Callithrix jacchus: one gene and its partner. The protein of the gene in region 1 interacts with the protein of each later gene in a biochemical or structural test. Links are inferred from orthologs where the notes say so. Each region holds a gene or a part of one and is shown on either strand. Other genes may lie near its edges.

Region 1 (3,797 bases):
CACAGGGTGGGGACAAGCCCCCATTTTCCGATGTGAAAAGCGAAGGGGTGGCTTGGCCCTGGTGCCAGCTCTAAGCCCCAGCCACTCCCATCCCGGCTGCCTCCTCCAGCAGATCCTCTAGCCCTTTCCTGGGAAGAAACTCCTGGTGCCTGCAGCTCCCTGAGGGGAGTCTGAGCAGGGCCGCCCCTTACATGCATGATGGTAGAGGGCAAACTGGCATGCCCGGTGGCCCACCCTCCTGTGACCACTCCAGGTGCTGAGCCAGCCCCACATGGGCAGGGCAACGCAGGGCACAGGAGGGAGAAGGGAGACCCACAGGTCCGCTGCCCACAGCCAAGGGGCTTCTGAGAAGGCTGCCCATCGTCCCTGGGAGAACTGGGCCGCTGCTGGGGACCAGCCACTTGGGCTCGGGAAAGGAACAGTGGCATGGGGGAAAGGCTGTGGCTTCTGCCTGCCTCCAGGGGGCGGCCTCACCCACCCTCCACCGCTACCTCCGGGAGCTGGCTCCAGGTGACCTGGGCGGGCCGGTAGCTCTTGACCACAATGGTGGCATCCGCCTTCCGGCCTCCCTCGGGACTGGAGGGCTCGTCAAGGATGTCATCATCAGACTCCTGGCTGGTGTTCAGGCCCCGCTCCTGGATCTCCTGGTAGAACTGGGGGTCTGGAGAGAGAAGCGGGGATTGAAAAAGGCTGGGCCTCCCTGGAACCCACAGGCTGAGCCCTCCCCAAGGCCTCTTCGGAGCCCTTGATGGGATCAGGCAGGACAGGCCCTCCTGGGCGGGGTCCTCTAGAGCCCACAGTCTCCACGGCTGTGAGGGAGAGGGAGGCTCTGGGTGGGGGCCGCCTAAGGTGCTGGGCAGGAAGGTGCTGGGCAGGAAGGTGCTGGGCAGGAAGGTGCTGGGCGCCAGTCCTGAGACCTCTCCCACACCACAAGCCCCTCCTGAGATGGTTTTCCCAGAGATTTCTGTAGAGGAGGCCTCAGTGTCCCCTCCTGGGCCCATGCCTGTCCACAAAGCTGCTGGGGGCTAGAGCGGGCCACTGTGCCTTGGGGCCTCTGGACAGAGGCCAGGCCTGGAGCTGGGCACTTGAGGCCCCAGTCCCCCCAGGCCTCTGACCTCATCAAGTACTTTGACCCCAGCAGCAGGCACCTCCCTATGTCAACCTCTCGTGGGATGCTCTCATATCCCACCAGCTGGCTAAGTGGGCACTTCCCCACTCCAGCTGGAGGCCCCAACACAGGGCTCCCCTCCAGCCTCGGATTCGAGACAGAGCCCGTGGCGTGGGCCTGGCGTCCTCGGATATGGCCTTGGTCCCCCACACTGCCACTGTAGGCCGAGCCCAGCAAACATATGGATGTTCAGGGCAAGTCTGGGGGCTCTGTCTGTGCCCTGCCCTTCAGATCACATAGAATAGAGTCCAGGGGAACTTTCTGGATCTTTCTAGACTATTCAAGGCTGCATGGTCAGACCAGCCACTGGGACCTCAGGACCTCAGCCTCTGGAAGGACCCCATCAAGCCGCTTTGATAATCCTGACACCGAACTGACGCCCACCTGACCCCCAGGAGGTCCCAGTGAGACCAGCTTCTACTGGAGCCCCTCCCGGTCTGCGGTACCTCCCAAAGCCACTCACCGTCCTTGAAGGAGCCCTTGTGTCCACGTTTCCGCCCCAGCGTCTTCTGCACAAAGGAGACACAGAAACCGCAGCTGTCAGCCAGGGCAAGTATGGCTCACCACGATGCTACACCCCAGCCCCGCCTGAGCCCAGGCCCACCGAGACGCTGCACCCCAGCCCCGCCTGAGCCCAGGCACACCGAAACACTGAACCCCAGCCTGCCTGAGCCCAGGCTTACCGCGTCACTGTACCCCAGCCCTGCCTGAGCCCAGGCCCACCAGCTAAAGAGACCCCAGGGACCTCACGGCTCCACGTTTGAAGCTGTGCCTGATGGGAGGGGGCCCTGTCAGGCACACAAAAGGTGCACAATAAATGCCAACTCCACAGGGCCTCAGGACCGCCTGTCTAAGCAGAGGCCAGGACACGTGGCTGAGGGCCATCAGGTCCAGGAGGGCTGCTTGGAGGAGGAGGAAGGGTTGAACTCACCATGAGGGGATGCTCAGGAACATCGAGCAGGCCTGGAGAGAACCCGTGGCAGGGCAGGTATGGGTGGGAGAGGGCAGTGGAGGGACAGTGGGGCAGCACATAGGCCCCTGGGGACCAGGACCGGGTGGGTCAGTGTCCAGCCCCAAGCAAGGGCCTGGGGGACATAGCAGAAGGCCGGGATGGCAGAAGTGATGAGAGGGGCTGGGTTTCTGGGAAGCCCCCACGCTCAGGTGCCCGGCTCAGAGCCCACCCTCCTTTGCTGGGACACTACACTTGTCCAGGTGTGCTGGTTCCCAAAAGGAGAGGGGCTGATTTGTTGGAATGAGTTGGGGCTTGAAAACTCCCCTTTCTGGCTGGGAACATGAGGCACTCCCAGCTGCACCTGGCCTGGCACCCTCAGCCCTGTGCCCCACACCCCACCTCAAGCGCTTCCCCGGTCCCTCTTGCGTCTCCCCCACCCCCCACCCCGTCCTCTCCTTTCTTCCTCTGCCCTAACTCTCCTTACTCACCAGCCCTGCCTGCGCCCAGGGCCACCAGCTAACGAGGCCAAGCAGGGTGGCCAGAGTCCCAGTCCTGGCTGTGTGGGTGTCCAGGTGCCACGCAGCTCTCCCTGAACACGGCTTCCAGCTCCAAGGCTGCCTCAAACCAAGGCTGGCCCCAGCCATAGGGAACAGTGACTCGGGGGATGAGGGATGCTGGGCTCAGGAGCCCCAGGTGGCTGTTCTGTCCCCTGGGCCCTAGTGGCACATGCAGCAGGCTACACCCTGCCCAGAGAAGGGTCTGCCACCACCATTTCCCAGACCTAGAGTCACTGCCAGCAGGCAGGGAAGCAGGGCTCCGTGTACAGAGGGAGCATGCAGACTCCTGAACCCCCAGCCGCCACACGGCTGCCCTGCTGAGTCCCTGTCCAGAGCTGCTGGGGCAGATGGAGCCAGGCCAGTCAGTGCCATAAGGCCACCCTGGACTCCATCATCCAGGCAGGCCAGCTCCTGGCCAGGGCTCGGAAGCAGAGGCTAGGCCCTTCCAGGGACCTGCCCTCCACCAAGGCTGGGAGCAGGGACACCAGAGTCTAGGGGCCTGGGTAGATGCCTTGACCTTTCTCAGCCTCTGCTGCCTCCTCTGCGAGGTGGGATCTTCACACTCACAGACTGGGCTGAACTGGAATAAACCAGTTGAGAGCCCTTATGCAGCAGGTGCTTACTAATGGCAGCTGCCGAGATGCAGATGATGATGGTGGGCCGGTCAGGCCACCCCTCTGCTTAGCAGCCCCTCCCATGGTCCATGTGGGCAGGCCCCTACCTTGTGTCTGGCTGGGCTCCTAATGGCAGGCTGGGTGGGCTCCTCGGCCAGAGCCTGCAGCTTTGGGCTTAGCTGGATGGTGTCCCCCTGGCCACCTGGCTTCCCCAGGCCCTTCATGGCTGCCCGGTAGGATTGGTTCCGTAGGTTCCGCCTCAGCATGCCCCTGGGGTCCGTGTCCATGTCCATGTCGTCCAGGGAGAAGCTGGCGGCTGGGAGGAGCTGGGGGTTCCGCCGGGCAGCCTCCCTGCTGAGCACAGCTGCCCCAAAGCTCTGGTGGCGGGCTGGGGTCTTCGACTTGCTGGCCACGGCCAGGCCCTTGGGGATCATCTGCTGGGTGCCCAGCTTCAGGGCCGCTGGGCTCTCTGTGCTCAGTATGATGGGCCGTGGCTCCTCATGCCC
Region 2 (4,396 bases), on another chromosome or scaffold:
CTCTTAATACATTAACTGTTACTGCTTCTTAGGATGTTAATAATGAGTTCTTTCCTTATGCAGGCCCTTAGGGCCCATTTCTGGATGGCCTATGTGTAAATGCAAGGACTTAACACAAGGCTATAGCCAGTCCGCGCTCTCCAGGAGTCAAATCTTGGCGCTTTTGCACCAATGGCAGACTATGCGTTAAGGTAAGAAAGAACTCTACAAAGTGTCTCACGCTTCATTTAATCTGAAGAATATTACAGGCTCTTCGTCTTCAGATATAAATTATTTATAACGTTACAGAACAAGCAGCGGATCGAACCATTTAAAAACTAGGTAAGTCTACACGGTGTTAACTTCTCGCCAGAGTCCTCCCAATCTGGTGGTTTAAAAAAGTCCCCCGGGCCCCCATTTCAGTAGACGTGCACCATGCCATAGAGGAACGTCCAGAACAGGACGTAGGTGAACAGGCCTCCGATGAGGCCTCCTGTAAAGAGAGGTCTTCGTGATTTGAAATATTTGTTCCACCTCCTTCCCGCCTTGAGAATGAGGAGCAGGGAGAGCAGGACGGAGGCGAGCAGGTAAAAGATGAAGCCGTAGAGGCCGGTGAGGCCGAGGATGCCGGCCGTGGCCCCCGACAGCGCTGACACCGAGGTCCGGCAGTAATCCAGGACGGCGGCGTTGCCCCGCACGGCCGCCTCGCTGATGAACGGCGGCCCTTCCCGCTTGGCCACCACCGCGGCCATCGCACCCCCCGGGGCTCAGTTTCTCGCTTTCTGGCGGGACAACGCGGAGCTGTAGAGAAAACCAAGTTACAAGTGGCGCCCAGAGCTCGGCGAGTTGGGTTCACGCCGCCGCCGCCCCCTCCCCCGGAGCTTCCAAGAGCTGGCACCAGTCCTGGGCCTCGGACCTTCAAGAGACGCCGAGAAGGTTGAGGGTCCGGGCCGGCCGGGAGGCGGTGGCGCGTCTGCGTTCTCCGGCCACGCTGACCCAGTTACCTGGAATACGGCGCCGGACACCGTACTTAGCGTTTCTTCAGGCGGGTAGGAGAAAAGACTCCCGCGACGCCATCTTGCGCTGAAGGCTGCCGGGAGGTCCCGGACTGCGCACGCGCCCAGATCCCACCCCGCCCTCCACGCCTGCGCCGTGGGCGCCCCGGGCACGCTCCACCCCCTCCCCCCCAGCCCTTTTTTTTTTGCGCACGCGCCGGAACTTCGGAAAGTGGAGTGGCGCTTCGGCCGGTGATTGGCTGGCGGGTGTGCTAACTATTCATGAGGGGGCGGGCCGAGCAGGGCGGCCTTTGTTAAGCAGCGAGGGCGCGGCCGCAGGAACTCTTCTGCCGGCTTCTGCGAGTGGGGCTGGGCGACCAGAGTGGGGTCGAGATGTCCTACATTCCGGGCCAGCCGGTCACCGCCGTGGTGGTGAGTGCGCTTGCGCGGGCTCCTCCTCGTCTTGGCCCGACCCCACCTCCCAGAGCGGGAAACTGACACCCCAAGCAGGTTGACAAAGCATCGAACCCGGGGTTCCTGCGAACCGGCGGCCAGGGCTCGAGTCCTCGCCTTGCCGGAGCCGGACACAGCTGCCCCAGCCACGGAACAGGGACGGCCGGGACCCGAGAGCCTCCCTAGACCCTGGACAGAGCCCAGACCGCGCGCGCGGGGCGGGGAGGGCCACGGAGCCTGGGAAAGCGCCCCCTTCCCGGGCCTTCGTGTCCCCAGCCGGGCAGCTGAGGGGGGGCGGGCGCGGATCCCGACGTCCATGAGTCGCAGCCTCTGGAATGAGGAAATGCTTCTTCCATTGCAGCCTGCGCCGCCGCCCGGAGGGAGATCTGGGGGTGGGGCTGTCCCGAGCCTGCTGTGGCAGCCCCTTCCCCCTTTCTGTCCAGCCTTGCTGCCCGGCCCAGGGTGGGCGCTCACACAGCTGGGATGAGCATTTCCTCTTCTTGGATCTCCAACCCTTAAGGCAAAAAAAGTCCAGGCCTTCTTTCTGGCACTTGAGACCTGAGGAGACCCTCTGGGGACTAGCCTAGGCCCCTGTCCACCCTCTGGCTTGTTTTAAGTGCTGGGTACTATTAGATTAGGCAGAGGGAGGGAGGCTGGGATATTAGACTCAGACGCCTGTGTCAAGGTGGGACGGGGCCTGGAGGCCAACCCTTTGGCAGAGGTGGGGAGACCCAGAAAAAAGTCTGTCTGATGGTGCTCGGCCAGAAAAGACGACGTCAAGAAAGACTCAGGTCTCCTGTCCACCTCCCGAGAGCGTTGAAAGGGAAGAAATGTCCGCCCGGTGGCCCGGTGGGCAATGGGTCAAGTGAAAGTCCCTGCCCTGGAGCCGTGGGGGCCTGCTGTGTACTCTCAGATGGGTGTGTCCAGCAGTCAGGTGGGTGGAGGCAGAGAAGTCACTGATAAAGGTGGCACTCAGGCCCAGGCCCGGAGGAAGCATTGCCAGACCAGCTGACAGCTGTCCTAAGCTTCCCCTTCCCTGCAGCCCCACACCAGCCTGGAGCTTTTTTTTTTTTTTTTTTTAACACGGAGTCTCATTCTGTCAGCCAGGCTGGAGCACAGTGGCATGATCTTGGTTCACTGCAGCCTCAGCCTCCCTAGTAGTTGGGATTACAGGCACGCACCACCATGCCTGGCAAATTTTTGTATTTTTAGTAGAGATGACCCTATGTTGGCCAGGATGGTCTCAAACTCCTGACCTCAAGTGATCTGCCCACCTCGGCCTCCCAAAGTGCTAGGATTACGGGCTTGAGCCACCTCGCCCACCCAGCCTGGCTTTTCTAGGTTCCTAGCTGCCCCAGAGAGAAGGTACCAGGTTTGCTCTTTAGCTAGAAGTGGGGCAGGGGCAGGTGAGGAGCCAAGCAAGCCACCTTCTATGTGACCTCCCGCAGCAAATCAGTGACAGCCCTGTCCCCCAACCCAAAGGCCTGTATCCTTCTGACCACGTGGAGCAGGCCTGGAGAAGCTGTTCTGGGCATGAGGACACAGGCCCAGTGGGCCTCAGGGATTATGCTGCCTGTCCCCCTCCCTCATGCCGTGATTGGTCTCACAGCCTTCCCCAAAACTATAGGCCCATGCCCCCCAATTCTAGTAACACCAGGAACATGCCTGACGTGGTGTGTGTGGCCTGGCCTCTCCCTTGAGTCTTGGATTGGGGGTGGGGTTGGACAGGCTGACTCCCCAGTCTCCACTGTCTCCCATGTAGAATTCTGAGAATATTAAAGCCACTTAGGACTCTTCCCCTGAACTCTGGCTCCATAGATCCATCTGCCTTCTGGACACCTGCCCCACAGCTCCTGGTACTCCAACTCGACCTGCTCCTCCTCCTTCTGGGTCTCCATCTGGGTGATGTGTTCAGCCAGGCGAGGTGTCTGGATGCTCCTTTGGACTCCTCCTCTGCATGAGTGCTCCCCAAGGCTGTAGATCTCCATTTTCGGCATCCTGCTTTTGTGAGATGTCCGTTCCTCTACTGACCACGAGTAGTCATTCTAGCAGCAGAGCTGACCATGCCCTGCCCTACTCAATTCCTGAGAACTCCAGTGGGTTGAGGATCAAGGTCAGGCTACTCCTCACCCCCTCAGGCTACAAAGAACCCCCTCTTTGGGAAAGCTCTTTAGGTCTAGTCTAGTTCATCATCTTTTTTTCTTTTCCCCTTCCTGTTAAAACTCTCAACTTTTGGAGTGATCTGGTTTGGCTCCTAGCATCTGCCAACTGGAGGGTGCTTGCCAAGGGCTTTGAAAGGAATCTGGCACAGTTGGGGACCACAGCCCCAGAGCATGGTGGGAGTGTCCTAGAACACTCTGCACTGCACGAGAGCAGGGCCCAGGGCTTAGGGAGATGCCCCTACTCCCCTTCCAGGACAGGATGTGGCCCCAGCCATATACTTGCAGCCTCATCTCGACGCCTAGTTCTGTGTCCCGTGCTGTACACTCGTCTCACCAACACGAATCCACAGCACCTTGAAGCCTGTGCTCTCATCCCTGTGGCCGGCAAACCCTTTCTCCCCTTTCTATGCAAGTTTGGTCTCTGCTTTTCCAGAGCACCTCCTGGGAGATGGGCCTCCCACCCACAGAAGCCGTAGCACCCTGACCCTTGGGCCAGGAGGGGCTTAGAGCATATGTTGACCAAGACTAGGGCCTGAGACTCACAGGAGAAGTGGTAACAGGCTGCGGCCAGAGGGCTGCATGGGTGGGTCGATGTGGCCAAGGTCCTTGTGCCTCCCAGGCTGCCAAGCAGCTGGATTCCTGCAGGGGCCTGGGCCCCACCCCCTTAGCATGGTGCTGAGGCTGCTGCCCACACAGCAGCCTCATTCTCCACCCACCCACCTCCCTCAACTTGCTTTTTTCTTTGCCAGCAAAGAGTTGAAATTCACAAGCTGCGTCAAGGTGAGAACTTAATCCTGGGCTTCAGCA

Evidence for each region.
Region 2: the proteins of ARHGEF16 (region 1) and TAX1BP3 form a complex in vitro, tested with the Homo sapiens proteins (2 studies listed by BioGRID and IntAct, with this or other methods). The link is inferred for Callithrix jacchus from reciprocal best matches to the Homo sapiens genes ARHGEF16 and TAX1BP3.

What each region holds. Positions count from the first base shown.
Region 1 is NC_133508.1:41,339,480-41,343,276, reverse strand, and holds part of ARHGEF16 (rho guanine nucleotide exchange factor 16), read right to left. Parts: coding exon 3,399-3,797; intron 1,678-3,398; coding exon 1,632-1,677; intron 662-1,631; coding exon 492-661; intron 1-491. UniProt on the Homo sapiens protein: Guanyl-nucleotide exchange factor of the RHOG GTPase stimulating the exchange of RHOG-associated GDP for GTP. May play a role in chemotactic cell migration by mediating the activation of RAC1 by EPHA2.
Region 2 is NC_133506.1:67,210,783-67,215,178, reverse strand, and holds the start of TAX1BP3 (tax1-binding protein 3), read left to right. Parts: upstream 1-1,367; coding exon 1,368-1,406; coding exon of another isoform or gene 1,407-1,941; intron 1,942-3,092; coding exon of another isoform or gene 3,093-3,193; intron 3,194-3,298; coding exon of another isoform or gene 3,299-3,424; exon of another isoform or gene 3,425-3,567; intron 3,568-4,338; coding exon 4,339-4,396. Other genes in the region: EMC6 (ER membrane protein complex subunit 6), read right to left, coding at 399-731; uncharacterized protein LOC118153673, read right to left, coding at 1,251-1,941, 3,093-3,193, 3,299-3,424. UniProt on the Homo sapiens protein: May regulate a number of protein-protein interactions by competing for PDZ domain binding sites. Binds CTNNB1 and may thereby act as an inhibitor of the Wnt signaling pathway. Competes with LIN7A for KCNJ4 binding, and thereby promotes KCNJ4 internalization.